4 linked regions of the Arabidopsis thaliana genome follow. The protein of the gene in region 4 interacts with the protein of the main gene of each other region in a biochemical or structural test. Each region holds a gene or a part of one and is shown on either strand. Other genes may lie near its edges.

Region 1 (3,438 bases), on a different chromosome or scaffold from region 4:
AAAATCATATACTATGTTCGACTTTACGTGTTAAAGATACTTACATAAAATTACTAAGGATAACTATTTTTAAAGTTTGGTGTTAATTTCTTTTTAATCAACAATTTTTTGTTTTTGTTTTTTTTTGCTATTTTTATAGCGAATTTAAAACTACTAGACATTGACCAAGAAGACTGATAATGCGAGGGAACCACATTCTAGCAAATCTTGAGTCTTGACCATCATGCCAAAATGTTTTACTAGGAAGAATATCAATAAGCTATCATCTTTTTCTTTATTAAATCAGTTTAGATTTTACATTAGAAAGGAACAAGTTGAATATTAACAAGACTTTTGACCATAATAAGAAAAAGTTATGAATTTTTGTATTATGTTCAGAAGAGAGTGTATTGGAGATAATTTGGAGAGAGCAGATTGAATATAGGTGACCAACCAAAAAAAGAAGAAGATATCATCTGAACAAACTTATTAAAGAACATTGACTCTCATTTCTCAGTTAAGTTGGTACTGAAATACATCAGGGATACTCTTGAACACAAGATTGGTTCATATGAAGGATCAGAGTGTCATAATCATCTCAGAATTTTTTTATACTAACTTTTATTTCTGATCCAGGCAGAACAAGATATATAAGCAAGATTAGTTTTGCAAGCTAATAAAAATCTTAAAAGTTGAAGACTAGAGTTGCAAACATTTCAAAGAAGCTCTCTAATCACTTTGAATTGAACGTTTTTTTAAGGTTGACAAGAATCAAAACAGAACGAGTACAGTTCTATGTACATACATCTCTTCATATATGTTTTGAGTCTCAACATCATTTTGTTACAGCATTAGCGTTGAGAAGTATTGTTCAAATTCTTGATCAATGGTAGGCTTCTTTGTCTCATGTAGAGTAGAATCATCTGTACACATGAAACCAAGTTAGTGAATCCCCGGTTCATTGAATCAATACGGTCAAACCAAAATCCGGTTTTCTTTACCTTGGTTAACAGTCCATCTTCCAGAGGACAGAACAAACTTAGCAGCATTACTACTACATCCTTTAGCATCTTCCTCTTCTTCTTCTTGTTCATCGAGATAGAGAATGTTTTCAATGACTTTCTCTGAAAAATCCTCTAAGTTCTGAGTCCCATAGATGTAATCTAGATGGCTTTCGAAAGAGATCATCTTGTCTTCACCGCATGATCCAGATGATTCCTCTTTCATCTCTATATCATTGTTACACTCCATAGAAGTTGTTGAGTTCACATAAGAAGACATTGAATACTCTGTATCAATCTCCGAGTTACCATTTGTATTCTCTGAACAAGCAACATTGGCAAAACAAGTGTGTTTTGACAGAGGTAATAACGATAACTCATCAGATTGATCTGTCTGAAATTTCCTCTTCTTGCTCACCTCAACTTCTTCCATTTTCAACACATTTTTACTACTACTTATGATCATGTGATGGAAACTGCAAAAAAAAAGAACAACACATATTAAGATAGTGGATGGATCTTAATCACCAAATATATGAAATTGACTTTATTAATCTTGAACTTAATAAGGGTTTAGGAAAGAATAACAGGAAAACTTTCTTAATCTCAACGATTAAATAAGCTAAAATCAAGATAAAACTTCAATCATCCTCTGCAGCTATGATTTTTGGTCAACCATTGACATGAATACATACATAATCAGTCAATCCTCTGTATCTTAAAGAAACTGAGAAGAAGCATAATAAGAAATTTGATCTCTAATGATAATATATAGGAATAGATTGAGAAACTGAAACCTGTTAATCTCAGATGGCTTCTCGTTGTTGTTATCCACTTCCACTTCAGGCATAGATCGCAGAGAGAGAGAGAGAGATAGAGAGAGTTCAAAGATAATTGTTTTTCTTATTACTCTTTTAAAAAATGCTCTTTCCACTTTCAGAGGGTCTGAAAATCTGGAAACTGCGTAACTTAAAATACATAAATTAAGCATCAAGTGTACGACGCGCTACGTTGGAGCGTGTATTACACGAAACATTTGAATCCGTTGATCTCGTCGACATGGTGTTTGATTTGGCGCGTGAAAAGAGTCTACGTGTTGGCGAGGTGACCCATCTTCTTACACGGGACCGTTTTTTATTTTTATCTTTCGCTCCATACGATTTTGCAATCTTTTTTACTATTGTCCCATAACGATTTTATGGGCTTTTGGATGAGGATGTATAAATATTTATCAATTTTTCCCTTACATAGGTATAAATATTCATTATCTTACAAAGATAATAGTTTATAAATTTTATATCATTATTTAAAGAAAATAATATGATGTAGAACTGTCTTTTTAAATTTCTATTAAAAACTTAATTTTAGAAGAATTTGGATTTTTTTTACAAAAATTTTTAGAAAAACTTCTCAACTATTTGGTAATTATTTTTTTGGACAATTTGTTCTTTTTCCAGATAAACTATTAGCTTGGTACCATAATGACAAAATAGTATTTTTAGTTCTTTACTTGGTCTGGTCTACTAGCTAAGCAAAAAAATATCTTACTAATAATTTATAATAATTGACACGTCATAATGTACTGGATCACGTGCATCGCATGTTTAGACGAGAGTATCATATGGCGCTGTCTGATGATTTTGGTAGCATTCATCATTGCAACTCGTAAGAAGAAAAGCTGAAACCAGATCTTCCTTCGTTAACTGTTTTCAGCTCCAGCTTCTGAAACGGACTGTCCAGAAACAAAATATCATCAGGTTTTATCTCAAACAACAACAGATTATATAGTTTGTATCTTGGACTAACCTGCTGTTTGGATCATAATAGAAACCGCTGATGGAACCATCGCTGCAGGAGAAGCATACGTAGTAAAATCCAGCTATTGTTAGTCCACAATCTGTGCCAACGTTTACAAAGTATTGCTCTTTCCATCTCTGCACCACCACAAAAATAAACCCGAGTTGCAGGAATTATGGAATACTTGAGAGAAAATGATGATTGGATTCGATAGGAAAAACTGAGAGTTATACCATAAATATATAAGGATAATTGTTAAGATCCAATTGCCTGCCACCATCAGATTCAACTTGTCCCTGCAGTATTAAGTCCAGAACGTTGCTTAGGAGATGTTACTGACTATACAAACAATGTTACTCGAGTGTTACCTGAAGAGGCGAAAAAGACGGGAACTTTGACCAATGTCTCATATCATCTTCCCTCCTGTGACAAACAAACTTTCAAAAATTTATTCACGATAAGAAATCATCAGTTTCAAATCTACAAGAATATAGGAATTGGGACATACGTTGCTTCCCATTTTCCGGTGTAAAAGGTATAATTCTTTCCATCAACGATTTCCCCTTCCCAGAATGTTATGACCTGACACTCACAGAATCAAGAATCGTGTCCCCTATTAGAAATTCAAGGGGAAGCAATATGAAGAAAAAATGAGTAAGAG
Region 2 (4,702 bases), on a different chromosome or scaffold from region 4:
CGCTTATCTGATGTGGTGAGGTTTAGGGGTAAAAACAATTAACAAACTCCTCATGATTCATGGAGAACTTAATGAGTGATTCTTTCAACAAAGTATAAACAAGGGCCTAACCTCCATAAATTCTGGAAGTGGGATGCCATGCTGAGAGAAATGAACCTTTTGCATGTATTTATCCTGGAACATCAAACTGCCACATATAAATAAAATTGCTGAAAAACTTTGACTATACATAACTCCATTTGATGAAATATTTGAGAGGTTATGAAACCTGTATTATCCTAATAGTAGAAGCTTTGGGTTGGCAATCCACTCCTTGTTTCTCAAGCTTCTCTAGTGTGTCCACGTCAACATGTTCAATTTCTACAGTTAAGACTCCACATCTAACTACGACAATAAACAAAAATAACCATAAATATTGTAATGAAAATAAGAATTGAGAACCTGAAGCATTCAAGAAACAAACAAAAGAAGAGACCTTTTTGCAAATTCTTCTACTGTAGCACTGTCGTCAAAGCTATCAACCATGTGACCGTAGGACAATGCACTTGCTGAACAATTTTTAGAAGGATCTAAAATCATCACTTTGATAGCCAACTGAGAAGCAGCTTGGCAAAGCATACGACCCAATTGTCCACCCCCAAGAACTCCCACAATTTTCTCAGAAACTCCATGGACATGTTTATTCTCGCGATTCTCACTTGCAAAGAGGAAAGATAAATAACATTAGAAATTCCTTCCCCAGTCTTACTATTTTCAAATCTTTGTGTCTAGTAACAGAGAAACGAGCAGGGAAGCACAGCTAGTTTCTATATTTTATTCGTCATTGCAATTGGTGTGATGCAATCTTAACCACAACAGCTATGCAACTTCTCATGTCCATGAAACTTACAAGAAAAGAGAAATTTTTCTTCATTTTCACAGATTAATATATGCAGGCTTAATTGATATGTGGTTTAAATACAACGACTTTCACCTTTCAGCTTAATTGATCCAATCTCGTTTATCTTTTAACACACCACAATAGCCAAGAAAATAATAAGAATCGAGAAAATACTTAAGAAGAATGGTTGACACCATTATACTCAATACAGGGGACATAGGTACCTGATAGGAGAAGCATCGTGAGAGCTACAGGGCACAGCTGAAGCCGTATTCAATTTCCCAGACGAAGAAGTGGGAAGCTTCTGCAAATTTGCCATAGTCAAACTCTGGAACGACTGCGTTCTGGTCACTGGAAAAGGTCCAACTCTGTAGGTGGAGCGAGAAGTGTGAAGGACTGGAGTTGTATTTCCAACGACAAGAACAGCAGCTGAGCTTTGTTTCAAAAGCAACATCTAGAATGCTATACAAAACGGAATACTTTTAGCACCGTTTTATAAATATGCAATCAAGTAACATGAAAAAGTATGGTAGACCACAATAGAGAATGAACTCAAGCAAAACCCAAGTCAACGTCAATAGCTAAACCAATGAAAACGACGTAAGAAGCTCATGTGAATGGATTCAAGTAACATTCTTAGAGTCAATAGCTAAACTAATAAAGCCGCAGCTTCAACTTGAGAGGAAGGCAAACCTGGGTGAGAGAAGCAGCTAGACAGAGAGAGAAGTCGGAAAGTCAGGTCCAAAGGTTAGATTTTTATAAAGCAAGTTCGATAATAGAGGTGGAAAAAAGCTTCTTCCGGATTTGGAGGCGGCGGCGAGGAGAGAGAAGATCGGTCTGACGGGGAGAGAAGAAAAGGTTTTTGAGAGGTTTTATACAAAACGCAGTCGAAAACCGGAGAAGCCTAATCCGTTTTATGTATAATTTGATTCGGTTAAGAAAACCGAACCGGGTATGATGAGATGTGGTTTTTGATTAGGCTCCACGATTTGATTTGGTCGCACCAAAGATCGGATTTTTATCAGACGGAAAGGAGGAGACGGAAGAAAATGCCGGTGAGAGTTGTTGAGAGCAACACGCCTGCTCAAGTTTCAGGTTTTTGATCGCTTCTTCAAGTTTTGAATTTAGGTTTGTTTGTTTATGTTCCCTCTTTGTGGCTCTCTCGCTCATTTGTTGAGATTTGTTGCCATTTAGGAACTGATCCTGGGAATCGATCACCACTTCCCCCTAGTTCACTTCTCGGCGCTGGCCAGGTACAACGATTAATGAATTAACAAAACATGTTATTTTGCAGAAATTTATTTCTAGGATTCGTATGATACTTGGATTTTTACAAGTTTTTCTCTCAAGTGTCTGACCATAGAGGTCTTGGGAATATTGGTTAGGACTAGAAAGAACTTTATTAGTTATGCTTGTGCATCTGTGGTTATGTATGCACACTCTTTTTATGAACATAACCTTATGTGTAAGCAGAATCTGAGTATACCTATAAAGACATTATCTTAGGGGTTTTTATGTGTAAAGGTGAATTTTCTCTCAAACTTGACAAGTTCTTACTTATGAATACTTGAAATCACAAGAATAGCTAATTTTTTTATTGTTGATTCTGTCGATTGGCTGTGGTAGTTATAGAAGAAACTTTGCTTCACAAGGGTTTGCTAGTATACTTTATGTGAAATTTGTGAGAGAGAGGCTATGGTAAGATGAGAAGGAAAGTTATAAGTTTCCATGATGTTTAGCTACTTAGGTTAGCATAAAAGAACTTAAAGATCTCGTGTCTCGTTGTTCAGGCACAAAGCATCATTCATAGGCAGGCAACAAACATCATGGGTCTAGTTACTTTCTTCCCATTAGATCTGCAACTTGTTCAAGTGTTCTGGTTGCATAACGATTCTCTAGTAATGCTGATTTTTGTTATACCAATTAGAAGTTGGCCTTGTCTGCTTTGATTGGCTTCATATCTTTTTCATGTTGACATGTATGCTTAATTCAAGTGCATTTGTATCTAGTTGGGATTGTATAACATTCATTGGCTCAAAGAGATTGTTTATTCATAATGAACCTAAAGATGAGGAACACACATGTTTTTATGCTGTGCTGCAGGCATTTTCTGGTACGCAAAATGTCTCTAATCAACAGAAGGAGGAAGCTTGGAGAGTCAACGTCCAGATACAGGGTATTGACCTTGAACATGGTTATCTTTGTGGCACCATGGAAGCTCTAAACGTTCCCATGGCAGACACTCCTGTAAGCCCTTACACTCTTACTCATTTTTTCTTCATATTGCTTCCCCTTGAATTTCTAATAGGGGACACGATTCTTGATTCTGTGAGTGTCAGGTCATAACATTCTGGGAAGGGGAAATCGTTGATGGAAAGAATTATACCTTTTACACCGGAAAATGGGAAGCAACGTATGTCCCAATTCCTATATTCTTGTAGATTTGAAACTGATGATTTCTTATCGTGAATAAATTTTTGAAAGTTTGTTTGTCACAGGAGGGAAGATGATATGAGACATTGGTCAAAGTTCCCGTCTTTTTCGCCTCTTCAGGTAACACTCGAGTAACATTGTTTGTATAGTCAGTAACATCTCCTAAGCAACGTTCTGGACTTAATACTGCAGGGACAAGTTGAATCTGATGGTGGCAGGCAATTGGATCTTAACAATTATCCTTATATATTTATGGTATAACTCTCAGTTTTTCCTATCGAATCCAATCATCATTTTCTCTCAAGTATTCCATAATTCCTGCAACTCGGGTTTATTTTTGTGGTGGTGCAGAGATGGAAAGAGCAATACTTTGTAAACGTTGGCACAGATTGTGGACTAACAATAGCTGGATTTTACTACGTATGCTTCTCCTGCAGCGATGGTTCCATCAGCGGTTTCTATTATGATCCAAACAGCAGGTTAGTCCAAGATACAAACTATATAATCTGTTGTTGTTTGAGATAAAACCTGATGATATTTTGTTTCTGGACAGTCCGTTTCAGAAGCTGGAGCTGAAAACAGTTAACGAAGGAAGATCTGGTTTCAGCTTTTCTTCTTACGAGTTGCAATGATGAATGCTACCAAAATCATCAGACAGCGCCATATGATACTCTCGTCTAAACATGCGATGCACGTGATCCAGTACATTATGACGTGTCAATTATTATAAATTATTAGTAAGATATTTTTTTGCTTAGCTAGTAGACCAGACCAAGTAAAGAACTAAAAATACTATTTTGTCATTATGGTACCAAGCTAATAGTTTATCTGGAAAAAGAACAAATTGTCCAAAAAAATAATTACCAAATAGTTGAGAAGTTTTTCTAAAAATTTTTGTAAAAAAAATCCAAATTCTTCTAAAATTAAGTTTTTAATAGAAATTTAAAAAGACAGTTCTACATCATATTATTTTCTTTAAATAATGATATAAAATTTATAAACTATTATCTTTGTAAGATAATGAATATTTATACCTATGTAAGGGAAAAATTGATAAATATTTATACATCCTCATCCAAAAGCCCATAAAATCGTTATGGGACAATAGTAAAAAAGATTGCAAAATCGTATGGAGCGAAAGATAAAAATAAAAAACGGTCCCGTGTAAGAAGATGGGTCACCTCGCCAACACGTAGACTCTTTTCACGCGCCAAATCAAACACCATGTCGACGAGATCAACGGATTCAAATGTTTCGTGTAATACACGCTCCAACGTAGCGCGTCGTACACTTGATGCTTAATTTATGTATTTTAAGTTACGCAGTTTCCAGATTTTCAGACCCTCTGAAAGTGGAAAGAGCATTTTTTAAAAGAGTAATAAGAAAAAC
Region 3 (5,095 bases), on a different chromosome or scaffold from region 4:
CCCACCAATGTGAGTCCATATCTGATTCTCTGTTTCTTTCTTCCCTACTTGGAATTATATAAAAATATGTATATACATATTAATGTGTATATATATATATATATGTGCGTGTTCCCATATCAATGATAAATGCTCTTTATCAAAAGGTAAAATGATTATAAAAAAAAATAAGTTGTTTCATTTTATTTGTTGTTTTCAATGCAAAATTTATTATTATTTTATTATTTTTGATTCTTGAAATTCTGCAACTTTTTATTGGTTAAATTATTTTAAAATATGTAATTAAACATATTTTTAAAATTTAAGAAAACAGAAACTAAATGATCTTAATCAATGTACCAAAATCTTAAACTAGAACAAAATAGAAACAAAAGAAGTATTATAGAAGAAATTAACACTTTGTTCACTAACTTGACTACTATAAATGATTATAAATTAACACTTTATGTAGCATTCGACTTTTCTGTTTATAGAAGAGGAGACTCACTTAAGTCTTTAATATCATGTTTGCATATGTTGTAGTCTTTTGTTTTTAACATCTTTGGATTGACATGGTCTATTCTATAGCCAATATCTATTATGCAAGATAACACGATTTAGTGGAGTCAAACTCTGGTGGAAAAAGCGGAATCAAATGGATTTAACCACAAGACTAAAGGAATATTTCCTGCAAGATATATGTAGTCTTAAATCTATAATTTAGCGATATAAAAAAGGACAATTTTTAAATATGATACTTAAGTTTTTGTTTATTTCTTTAAAAATACCACTTAATGTTTGGTTTCTTAAAATAACATAAAACTTAAATTTAACTTCCAACATTCAAAATTAAACTCTAAACTTTAAACACTAAACCCTAACCCCTAAAAACAATATCTTAAAATTAAAATGGTCAATTCAAACTTAATTTTTTTAATTCTGATGAACTCTTGAAAATCAAAATTGAAGTATAATATTTTTGGAAAACAAAACTTTTGGTGGTATTTTGACAACACAACTTGAAAGTGTGATATTTTGCTACAATACTCCTCTAGAATTCGAGGCTCCCTTAAAACAAAATATTATTTTCGTGTCAGTCATATTTTTTTGAGACATTTCTCAAAATACCACATTTTCAAGTCTTATTGCTAAAATACCATTTCATCCGGTATTCGATCTTCTATCAAAAGAAAATTATATTCATGTAGGATGTCTAGGTTTGGTCCAGACAAGTTAAATGGTAATCTGGTAACATGCGATTCAGTTATGTTTAAGTGTTAATCAGTTAATATTCTAAACTCGGAATAAATGTGTGATGATCCTTGAATATAAATTTATTTTGTAATACTTAAATATATTTTTACCAAAATTAACCGGATCATTGGATAAAGTTTATAAAATAATTTTTTTTTGATGATAATGCCATGAAAACAATTTATAGTACGGATGAGAAACAATGAGGCTGATTATTTTATCTCCGTCAGCTACAAATGATCTCAGACATTTTGTTTTTATGTTCAACTTGGTTTTTTATTCAGAGGTTAAAAAATGGGCACAAGTTTCTATTCAGACACATACACACATAAATAAAATAGAGAATTCACTGTTAAAGTTAGTTGACACAATAGTAAATGCGATACATGCTAGAGTCACGGAAGAGGCAAAAACAAACTCCAAAGAGAGACATATAAGAAAAAGACAAAAACCCTTAAGAAGCTTATCACATTCTTAAAGCACGAAAATTCAGAATAAGATTCAGTCATCCTTTAGCACAAAAAAAAAAAAAAAAAGATCCAGTCATCCAATACTAGTTCCCCAGAAATAAAGGTGATATATTTTTTTTTTTGAGAAGCCTATCCAGTACCAACCTCAATTCTCTAGGTTAGATATAGTCTGGGTAGTATATATGTTTCTTCACTGATTAGTAATCTCTGTGTGTAGTACACTTACTCACTAGTGCTACTCTTTTGGATCTTTCTGGGGTTTTTCTTTTGGTTATAAAACCAGAAGAAGAAGATAACTGTTTGTTATTTTAATACTTACCATTATCATCATCTTTGTAGAGAGAGAGATATGCATCATTTTGTCCCTGACTTCGATACCGATGATGATTATGTCAACAACCATAATTCTTCTTTGAATCATCTTCCTAGAAAATCCATTACTACTATGTAAGTTCTTTTATTCAAACTTATATTAAAAAAAAAAAAAAGTTTGATTAGTTCAAGATCTGAGTATTTATAGTATTGAAAACTTTAGGGGTGAAGATGATGATCTTATGGAGCTTTTATGGCAGAACGGTCAAGTTGTTGTTCAAAACCAGAGACTTCACACCAAGAAACCTTCTTCTTCTCCACCGAAGCTTCTTCCTTCTATGGATCCTCAGCAGCAACCTTCTTCAGATCAGAATCTTTTTATTCAAGAAGATGAAATGACTTCTTGGCTTCATTATCCTCTCCGTGACGATGATTTCTGCTCAGATCTTCTCTTCTCCGCCGCACCTACTGCGACGGCTACCGCGACGGTGAGTCAAGTCACCGCCGCGAGACCGCCAGTATCTTCGACGAATGAGTCGAGGCCGCCGGTGAGGAACTTCATGAATTTCTCGAGGCTGAGAGGGGATTTTAATAACGGTAGAGGTGGTGAATCTGGACCGTTGCTTTCGAAGGCGGTTGTGAGAGAATCTACGCAGGTAAGTCCTAGCGCAACACCGTCGGCGGCGGCGAGTGAATCCGGTTTAACACGGCGGACGGATGGTACTGACAGTTCCGCCGTAGCTGGAGGCGGCGCGTATAATCGGAAGGGAAAAGCAGTGGCTATGACGGCGCCGGCGATCGAGATAACCGGTACATCGTCATCTGTAGTGTCAAAGAGCGAAATCGAACCGGAGAAGACGAACGTCGATGATAGGAAACGAAAAGAGAGAGAAGCCACCACTACTGATGAAACTGAATCCCGTAGCGAGGTGAGTCAAAAAAACACAGAACAGAGTCGTTGTTAGCTATCGTGCGCAAGTCAAATACGGCGCATTTTAGTCTGACTTTGTAGTTTTCAGCGCATTTTTAATTAACTTTTTTGGTGTTTTCTTGTGGTGCAGGAAACAAAACAAGCACGTGTATCAACAACATCTACCAAGAGATCTCGTGCTGCTGAAGTTCATAATCTCTCTGAAAGAGTACGTTTGTGTTTTTTCTTATGTTTTTGTAATCTTTTTCGATAAAGATTTCGCAATGAATCTGAAGAATGTCGCGGATTTGGTAACAGAAACGGAGAGATAGGATCAATGAGAGAATGAAAGCTTTGCAAGAACTTATACCTCGCTGCAACAAGGTCTTCGACGATCTTTTTTCTTTCTCTTCAAGTTATTGTATACGTTAACCTTGTTACTGATTGTTGTTTCTTTGATCCTCAGTCAGATAAAGCTTCGATGCTAGATGAAGCTATTGAGTACATGAAATCTCTTCAGCTTCAAATACAGGTTCATTTTCTTTAAAGGATTCTAAGTCTTGAAAGCCCTTTTTAAGTTCTTGAAAATGTACACTTTACCATGAAAACTCCAGTTTATATGACTGAGATTAATGCAGATGATGTCAATGGGATGTGGAATGATGCCAATGATGTATCCGGGCATGCAACAGTACATGCCTCATATGGCGATGGGTATGGGTATGAACCAGCCTATTCCTCCTCCTTCCTTCATGCCATTCCCCAACATGTTAGCCGCTCAAAGACCTTTGCCTACACAAACTCACATGGCCGGGTCAGGACCGCAATACCCTGTTCATGCTTCTGACCCGTCAAGAGTCTTTGTACCGAACCAGCAGTATGATCCAACCTCGGGCCAGCCTCAGTATCCAGCTGGTTACACGGATCCATATCAGCAGTTCCGCGGTCTCCACCCGACCCAACCACCTCAGTTTCAGGTACTAAACAGTCATCTCTTTCCCAAAAATGACTAGTTCCTCTGCTTACAAGTCACAAGTTCTTATCTTTCTTATTTTAGAATCAAGCAACATCGTACCCAAGTTCGAGCAGGGTGAGTAGTAGTAAGGAATCTGAGGATCACGGAAACCACACAACAGGTTAATAATGTCCATGGAGCAACAAGAAGATCTGTTTTCACAAGCAAACACAATTTCTTATCCGACCCGACCCAACCACCTCAGTTTCAGGTACTAAACAGTCATCTTTTTCCCAAAAATGGCTAGTTCCTCTGCTTACAAGTCACAAGTTCTTATCTTTCTTATTTTAGAATCAAGCAACATCGTATCCAAGTTCGAGCAGGGTGAGTAGTAGTAAGGAATCTGAGGATCACGGAAACCACACAACAGGTTAATAATGTCCATGGAGCAACAAGAAGATCTGTTTTCACAAGCAAACACAATTTTGAGAAATTGACAGAGAGACCTAACATGTATATATATCGCCATCTGTTTCTTGTTTTTCTTTGGTTTGTTTTGTCCTCTCTTCTCAGGTTGTATACTTAGAGAGCTGTACATGTAATGATCCAGAGATCTAGGAATCAATACATAGAGGTTGCAGAGGCTTAGTGCAAAGAATAAATATGAGAAAGTTAGGTTCATATACATACCCGATCATTATTCTTTTCTCGTCTATTATTATTACTTTTGACGAAAGCAATTCTTGATTAAGCTTAACAGTGAATATTTACAAATGTTCCACTCCCAAGTCCCAAAGACTTATCGATACAAATGCACAAACAAATCTTAGTCCTTGCAACTAAGCTCACAATGTGACACAAAATATGTAAATAGACGGACAAAAGCCAGCAAACAAAAGCAAGAAAATTAATGATGTAATTGGCCAAGCATTGCCCATTTTGTAGTGTCTTTCATAGGATCTCTTCATCTAAAAACGTAGTGATGTCAACTAATATGGTATCTCCAGTCCATGACCATAATATCGAAAATATAAAGCTAAAAGAAAAGGCAAACAAATTTCTCAAACCGTTAAGACTTGCTATCTCCATGACCATAAGACTTGACAAACATGCATATATATGTATCAAACCGTTAAATCAATTTTGTATTTGCTTAATAAAGAAGATGTAAAAAGAAGTTTAACATTTATAGTATTTGAAAACTTATATATTAGT
Region 4 (6,939 bases):
CTGTTTTTTTCTAAAGGGAAGATCTTTTTATCTTCTTTGATTTGTCTTCTGTAATAAAAAAGGAACAATAACTGATGATCTTCAGTGTGCATTTGAGCTCCATAGTCTCATGTATTCGTCTTCTTGTATAATCCATATTATTTTTTGTTCAAAGTTGACTAAAGACAGGTAAGAAGTCGAGGTTGATCTAATCTAAAAGCTTTCAAAACAGGTAAGCTAATTTATCTGACTTTTCAGATAAAATAATCAACTTGAGAGACTCTTAACGTATGGGTCTAATAAAACTGATTACTTAATTAACATGATAACTTATTTTTTACTTCACACACCATGTGCTTCTTCTAACAGAAAACTAAGTGTACTTCATATGGCCAGCTAATAGATCTCTGTTAAGTTCGAAGAACTATGTTTGCTTCTTCATGGAGTTGAGCCAAAGCTAATTGTTTGAAACCAAGACTTCTTGCAACATAGTCACGAATCATGCATTACCTCTAATACCTTAAAAGAAGGAGATTATATGAAACTAGATAGAATATTTGTTTGAGTTTCTGCCATTATGATAAACCATGGACCGTAAACATTAGCTCATTTCTCCTATATTACTTATTTTGAATGATACATCATGAAACCAAAACACTCAGGAGGAGATTAGATATGCATCCATATTTACAGCTTCAGAAAAGAGTTCAACAGAAGATGTAAATGGATGGATATTTCATCGTTACTGAAATTTGAAAACGAAAACAAAAGCGATAAGGAAAGTTACAAGCAAAGAACAACCAGTGACTATTTTATATCAAGCCAGACCCCTTTTCTTTTGGGGACTACTTGTTTGCTGCAGCGAGTTCCGCAGTGATAATGAAACTTGATTTCCCAGCTTGTCTCAAGTACTGAACATCTCCATTCATCAGCTTCACCAGTTTCCGGCTAACCATTAAGCTCAATCCTTCTTCTGACACATCTTCCTCAGTCCCAAACATTTGGTTTAGTAAAAACTCAGGTATCCCAGCTCCGGTATGCGTTAACCTGTTTTCATAATCCCAATATCCTCAATGCACTGTTTTTAACATCATATTATGCATTCTGATTATGAATATATCTATTTTACCTGATCTCTAGATTAGCAAGATGCACAGAACGCCCGAGCTGATCCTTCCTCAGGGAAGCTGAAACAGTTAGCTGACCTCCGGATGGTGTAAAGTTTACAGCCATCAGCATGAAATCTGCCAAGACTTGTTGAAGCCTAATACTGTCTCCATACAAAGTGTCAGACATTACTTCTTCTCCGGTCTCATTTGTTATCCGAACACTCTTTCCGTTACTCTTCATCATTACTTGACTTGTGGAAGCAGTCAACACTTCATTTAAGGTGAATTCTTTCATTTCCAAATCCAAGCATCTGCACAGTCAAATTCCAACATAAGAACACAGATAAACCATATTTTAAATGGACTTTCATTCTAGCATACCCTTCAATGATGCTTTCAAGATCCGAATCATCGAGGATCTTGCTTAGTTGCTTCTGACATAACGCGCTAGTTTGCAAAATCCGTCTTTGCTCTGGTCCTAATTCAGTACCCTCTATCATTTTCCTTGTAAACATGATCCCAGATAGCGGATTCCTGATCTGTCTTTTTATGTATGCTAGAGCCTTTAGTCTCTTCACTGCGGTTCGCTCAGCTAAACGTTGAACATGGAGCGCTTGCTGCAGCTCATGGCTGGCAAGTTGCAGGAAACAGAAGACACCTGTCACTACACCTTCCCTGTCCAGTTTCTTACTCACACACAACAGACACTCCACATACTTGCCACCTCTTGTAAAGAAAGCAAACGATACTTTCTCTGGATCTTGACTGGTCACAGCATTGTTCAGCACAATCCCAAGGTTTACAAAGGCTTCTTGATTCTTTAGACGACAACATGACTTCTGCGTCCCAAATACTTCTCCTAAGAGCATTTTGTCAATCACTTCCTCTCGCTTCAAACCGGTTAACTTTGACATTGCTGGATTCCACTCTGTGCACCATCCAAACTCATCGGTACCAAATATTGGCGGGATCAGCGGGTTTGGATTTTGGATGATTGCCTTGTAATCACCTTCAATCCGCGTAAACTTGTCCATCACAGTCTTCTGGCCAGTAAGATCATGGGCTACAAAACACACCCCAACCACGTTTTCATGGAGATCTCTACTTGCGCATGCATTTACAACTAAACTTATTGGCCCAGCATCAGCCCTGGACAGATGTGTCTTGATCTCAAACTGGACATTCTGCTCCTCAGTTCCTGCATAGATAAGCAAGTGAAGTTATAGACTCGGCTTCAGTGTTTGATAAAATTGGAAAACAAAATTCCATCATTAAGAACCAAAAACAACACATTGCATCAAGTTTCTTCGACCACGATACTCAATTGGAACTTGAATAGTGAAATCTAGTTGGAAGATTCTTAGCAAACTCAGCATAACTTAGGAAGAGAGTTTACCTTCTAATGCGTTCTCTAGCATCCTTTTAACGATTTCCACTGAAGAATCTTCAACAAGTGTGAGGAAATGCTTCCCGATTGCTTCATCAACCGAAAGACCAGTCAGCTCAGCAATTTTCGTGTTCCAACCATTAACCAGTCCATCAGAATCAACCGCCAATATTGGCACCGTAGCAGTCTCAATTAAACGAACCATCTCACTGGTCACAGCTTCTAGTTCTTGTATACCATCAATTTTGAGATCATTTAGCTTCGAGTAAATGACCTTTGTATTCACATCAGTAGTTTCACTATCCTTGAAAGCATTCCTCAAAATAAGTTGCAAGGAGTGTATGGCATCCATCTCATAGTCCTTCCAAGGTAAACTCCTTGTCTTGACCACTTCAAGGAAAGCCTTGAACGATGACCTTGGGTGCATTCTCCTTGCATCATCCCTATCATCTGGATCATGCTTCGCACCTCCCCATCTCACTTCACCAGCGGTATGAGAACGGAACCAGAAAATCATGTCTTTCGATGATATCCTCACAGCTGCCATCCCACATACCGAATCCCCGAGAGATAGAGCCCTAGGAAACCCGGCGTCATGCAAACTATCAGTGCTCAAACCCGTTGAATCCATGTGGTATTCACACAACCATGAAGCTATCTCCTGCAGGTGGAACTCACTTGGAGTTGTTCCCAGTTTCCATATCTTGTCTTTATACAAGAGAGCTGCTCCATCACATTTCACAAGGTCCATTATGTTGGGGCTTTGCGACACAATACCCAGTGGAGCATCACGCATCAGCATATCGCACAAGAGTGTCTGCGTGCGCAAAATGTTCTTCTCCACCATCTGGTTATCGAGTTCCACCTCCTTATTGACGTGTATGGCAAACACTTGAGCTAGAAACTCACAGGCATACCTGAGAGGAAATGGAACAAACCTCGGAGTCGTATTGTGACAAACCACTAAACCCCATAGTCTCTTTCTCTTTTGAGGCTGTGTAGTAGCATCAGGAGCATCCCCTTCTCCATCTTCCTCGTTAACTACAACCGCCATAACCAGAGATGCAATTGAATCCATGTTGGCCATGTACTGCAAATGGCAGCTGTGCGGTGCTCTAAGGGTGGAGCCACACAAGGTAAGGTCAAAGGAAAGCTTTTCATCTTGAAGCACCCTAGCATGTTTTGCATTGCAATCAACTATCATCCGGACCTTGTTCTTCATAAACAGAAAACGGGCTGCTTGAGGGATGTCGGTGGCAGGATAATGCAGCCCAAGATAAGGCTCCAGCCCAGGTTTTGTAACCTCGGAGACAACCTCACCGTGATCATCTTCATGAAACTTATAAGCCATCACCCTGTCATACCCCGTGAGTTCAAAAACCTCTTGAACCATTGTATCACAAAGCCTTTCCATACTCCCGCTGGGTAAAGATTGCAGCCTAGTGATTGCTTTGGCAGCGAGCTTGTATGATTGTAAGGCACCAGCAGCTGTCATGGGGACTTCATAAGGCTTCACGGGTTCAAAGTCGATGATGATGCTCCCTGTAACCCTGTGGATAATCGCATAAAAGGGCTTTGCAGAAGTCCTGCAGTGCACAAGAATGGGATTCAAAAGAGAGACATCTCCAAATCCAAGGGCTTTCTGCAATGCAGACGCACTAGGAGCAGTGAAAAGACTCCTTATATCTGTCCCAATGCCTAGAACAGGGTGTTCGCCAACACTAGGAACTGCATGACTGGCCATTGTCAACAGCTCAGATGCATTCTCGCTGTATGCAATAACTTTGAAGGTCTTCTCATCCAAGGCAAGTAAACAACCGAAGGGCTGAATCAGCTTTCCCTTCTGTATATGATGAAGATAAGTCGTGGTAACTTTGTCAGACCTTGGTGGCTGATTCTCCACAACCGGGCCAGTGACACGCACTGAGGTTGAGTAATCAAAGGAGCTGCCTGACTCCTCAAAATCAGCATGGAGTTTCGCATCTACAGTGGTCTGCGCAATGATCCTAGCGCTGTGCCTTGATCGCCTTGAGCCCTCAGAGGACTGAGTCGGCCTAGAGCCTGACATTTTTTTCCTGACACAGAGACAAGACAACAAAAAATAAGTGCAAAACTCTGATAAAAGAGGGAATAAAACATTCATGCCATAATCATATGAACACAAAAACATTCATCACCAGTCATACAAGCGAATGCATAAGCATAAACTTGAAACACTAAGAACCAATTCAGAATTTCAAACACACAGTAAAAAGAGTTATGAACTTGACTAACTCCATCGAGAATACATAGCTAAACCCAGAAACAGGACGCAACAGATGCAGGAATCATCGTGTCATATTCCAAGGTTCAATGATTTATCATTTTCAAAGTAACTGAACCAGTCAGATTCCATGAACACTTCCTTTCTAAGTCATCCTACAATCCAAAATCAACAACATCTTGACTATGAACAAGTCGCACAAATAATAGTTGATAGTTAACAGGGTAAATCCACTACACAAATACTAACAAAACGAGGATCTGAGCTAATATCAGCCTCTCAAGATTCAAACACAGCTACATACATAAAGTAGACTCAATAATAAACTCTTAAGAGTCTTTATAGCTAGCTATACCTTTCAAAAGGAACAATAAAGTCCCCACAGGGAAAGCAATCGTAGGAGTTAAAAGCGATAAAAGGATGAGATTAATTAATTGGATGCTTCTTCTCATAAATGATCACACACTATAAAAAGTTGAGTAAAACAAACACACATCAAGCCAGATCGAAAGAGACCTACAAAACCTTTATATCGCAGAAAACAAGAGGGTATTGATGACAACAGAGGATAGCTTTAAGAAATTAACTTCAAAGTTAGAATCAATTTCAGTAAGAAGAGTGAGACCAGTAGCTAGCTGGTAAGCTCCCAGCAGAAATCAATCGAAGCAAGCTTCAATATATATAGTTAAAAAAAGAAAAAAAAGGAGGAAACTTTGGGAAAAGGAAAGTAGGTACCTTTAAAGAGAAGAAAGAAGAAGAAGAAGTTTCAAGAAGCCATGATCAGATCTTGTGACTAGTCACACTCGTCAGAGGCTTTTTGTTATAGTTAAATTCTAAATCTTGGCCTCGATCACCACCTTCTCTCTTGTGCTACGCCTCTCTATTATTTGTGCTCCCTAACACAGACGACGACGATGAATGGGACCACCCCGAATACGTATGCCCATGTCTCGGAGTATGGGCGATTTGTATATTTTATAATGGAATAAAATAAAAGAAGAAAAAAGCTTAATTTGGATAAAAGACAAACTTCACACACATATCAAGAACAGGGTCGGCTTCGCCGGTAACATTTTCCTCGCTAAAACAGAACAGTGGGCTTAAGATATATCAAGTACTACTACTTGTAAATCTTGGCAACTTTCTGGGGAATATTAATTGATATTTTCACCGATGTGACTAAGACTGTGTAATGAGGAAAAAAGAAGTAAAGTGGAAGAAGAACAAAATGGGGTTGATTCTTATAAATCCGATTGAAGAGAATCGTCCAAAGGATAAGAGATCAAAAGTAAAAAAAAAAAAAAAGATTATTAATAAAATAAAAAAACGAGAAAGAGAGAGAGAAAGAAAGATGGTGGTAGTTGTTTAATGAAGGCAGTAACCAGAAGTAGAAAGTTGGGTTTTGAGGAAGACGACAACGATAGTCTTATGGGCTTCACGTTTTCTCGGCTTTTTGCGTTTTGTAATCTGTTTCTGGGATTTACTTCAAAGTTGGGACTTTCCTTTTTTGTATTTTTTTTTATCGTTGAAAGAAAGTAATAAAATTTGTAAAACTAATTTAAGTTTATTCGAAGAATTTAAATTTGTTTTATTTTTTATATAAAAAGGGTAAAAAAATCGTTATTAAGGTTTTATTTTTTTTTCGTCAAACAAAATCCATATCGTTTTAACATCATTGTCAAACTTCGATTCGTTCTTATCGCAAATCCACGTTACCATGTTTTCTTAGGTATTTTGCTTCTATCCTCTTAAAGTTAAATCTCCCCCTAAGTTTTTTGCAGTAAATCTCCGGAGAAGATCGAATCGACAACGTCTTATCTAGACAGCGCAATTCAGCATAGATATTGTGGCACAGCTATGTTGGACCAAAAATGTGCCTCCATAATGCAAATGTTGTCCTAGCAACACAGTATCATCCATTAGACATAGTCATGGCCCATGTTGCACATATCTGAATTGGCAAAAGGTACTAATCCCATTTCAGGAATAACACTTTGAAGAACAAAACAAATATGAGCTTAGGAGACTTCTTAATGGCCGGCCAAGAACGCTTCAATCACTAGGGATGTGATGGTTTGGAACTTTAAGGCGCCCTTTGAGAGCTATTTCATTTTCACTCTTTTGATATTGAACTCTCAAAACAACTGTTCATTACCATGTGTTTTCTCGGTTTTTAATGTGTGTATTTGTGTGAAACAAGG

The links.
Region 1: the proteins of PHYA (region 4) and FHY1 form a complex in vitro, tested with the Arabidopsis thaliana proteins (2 studies listed by BioGRID, with this or other methods).
Region 2: the proteins of PHYA (region 4) and AT2G37680 form a complex in vitro, tested with the Arabidopsis thaliana proteins (one study listed by BioGRID).
Region 3: the proteins of PHYA (region 4) and PIL5 form a complex in vitro, tested with the Arabidopsis thaliana proteins (3 studies listed by BioGRID).

The regions. Positions count from the first base shown.
Region 1 is NC_003071.7:15,800,867-15,804,304, forward strand, and holds FHY1 (far-red elongated hypocotyl 1), read right to left. Parts: upstream 1,928-3,438; 5' UTR 1,831-1,927; coding exon 1,778-1,830; intron 1,457-1,777; coding exon 981-1,456; coding exon of another isoform or gene 955-980; exon of another isoform or gene 903-954; coding exon 823-902; 3' UTR 552-822; downstream 1-551. Other genes in the region: AT2G37680 (glucose-induced degradation-like protein), read right to left, coding at 2,634-2,712, 2,787-2,914, 3,011-3,073, 3,146-3,200, 3,286-3,359. UniProt on the Arabidopsis thaliana protein: Key regulator of far red / red (FR/R) spectrum-specific responses essential for the adaption to changing light conditions (e.g. de-etiolation), essentially by regulating PHYA shuttling from the cytoplasm to the nucleus and by directly regulating the expression of some target genes, depending on light conditions and phosphorylation status.
Region 2 is NC_003071.7:15,802,743-15,807,444, reverse strand, and holds AT2G37680 (glucose-induced degradation-like protein), read left to right. Parts: upstream 1-1,771; 5' UTR 1,772-1,842; coding exon 1,843-1,975; intron 1,976-2,074; coding exon 2,075-2,133; intron 2,134-2,983; coding exon 2,984-3,127; intron 3,128-3,219; coding exon 3,220-3,293; intron 3,294-3,378; coding exon 3,379-3,433; intron 3,434-3,505; coding exon 3,506-3,568; intron 3,569-3,664; coding exon 3,665-3,792; intron 3,793-3,866; coding exon 3,867-3,945; 3' UTR 3,946-4,202; downstream 4,203-4,702. Other genes in the region: AT2G37690 (phosphoribosylaminoimidazole carboxylase, putative / AIR carboxylase), read right to left, coding at 1-7, 112-174, 269-380, 476-697, 1,105-1,334.
Region 3 is NC_003071.7:8,703,496-8,708,590, reverse strand, and holds PIL5 (phytochrome interacting factor 3-like 5), read left to right. Parts: upstream 1-1,586; 5' UTR 1,587-1,806; exon of another isoform or gene 1,807-2,042; 5' UTR 2,043-2,052; coding exon 2,053-2,150; intron 2,151-2,238; coding exon 2,239-2,944; intron 2,945-3,076; coding exon 3,077-3,154; intron 3,155-3,243; coding exon 3,244-3,309; intron 3,310-3,391; coding exon 3,392-3,457; coding exon of another isoform or gene 3,458-3,472; intron 3,473-3,563; coding exon 3,564-3,902; intron 3,903-3,982; coding exon 3,983-4,066; 3' UTR 4,067-4,151; intron 4,152-4,231; coding exon of another isoform or gene 4,232-4,315; 3' UTR 4,316-4,567; downstream 4,568-5,095. UniProt on the Arabidopsis thaliana protein: Transcription activator. Negatively regulates chlorophyll biosynthesis and seed germination in the dark, and lightinduced degradation of PIF1 relieves this negative regulation to promote photomorphogenesis.
Region 4 is NC_003070.9:3,094,674-3,101,612, forward strand, and holds PHYA (phytochrome A), read right to left. Parts: upstream 5,158-6,939; 5' UTR 4,755-5,157; coding exon 4,750-4,754; intron 4,551-4,749; coding exon 2,485-4,550; intron 2,287-2,484; coding exon 1,470-2,286; intron 1,400-1,469; coding exon 1,109-1,399; intron 1,027-1,108; coding exon 825-1,026; 3' UTR 530-824; downstream 1-529. UniProt on the Arabidopsis thaliana protein: Regulatory photoreceptor which exists in two forms that are reversibly interconvertible by light: the Pr form that absorbs maximally in the red region of the spectrum and the Pfr form that absorbs maximally in the far-red region.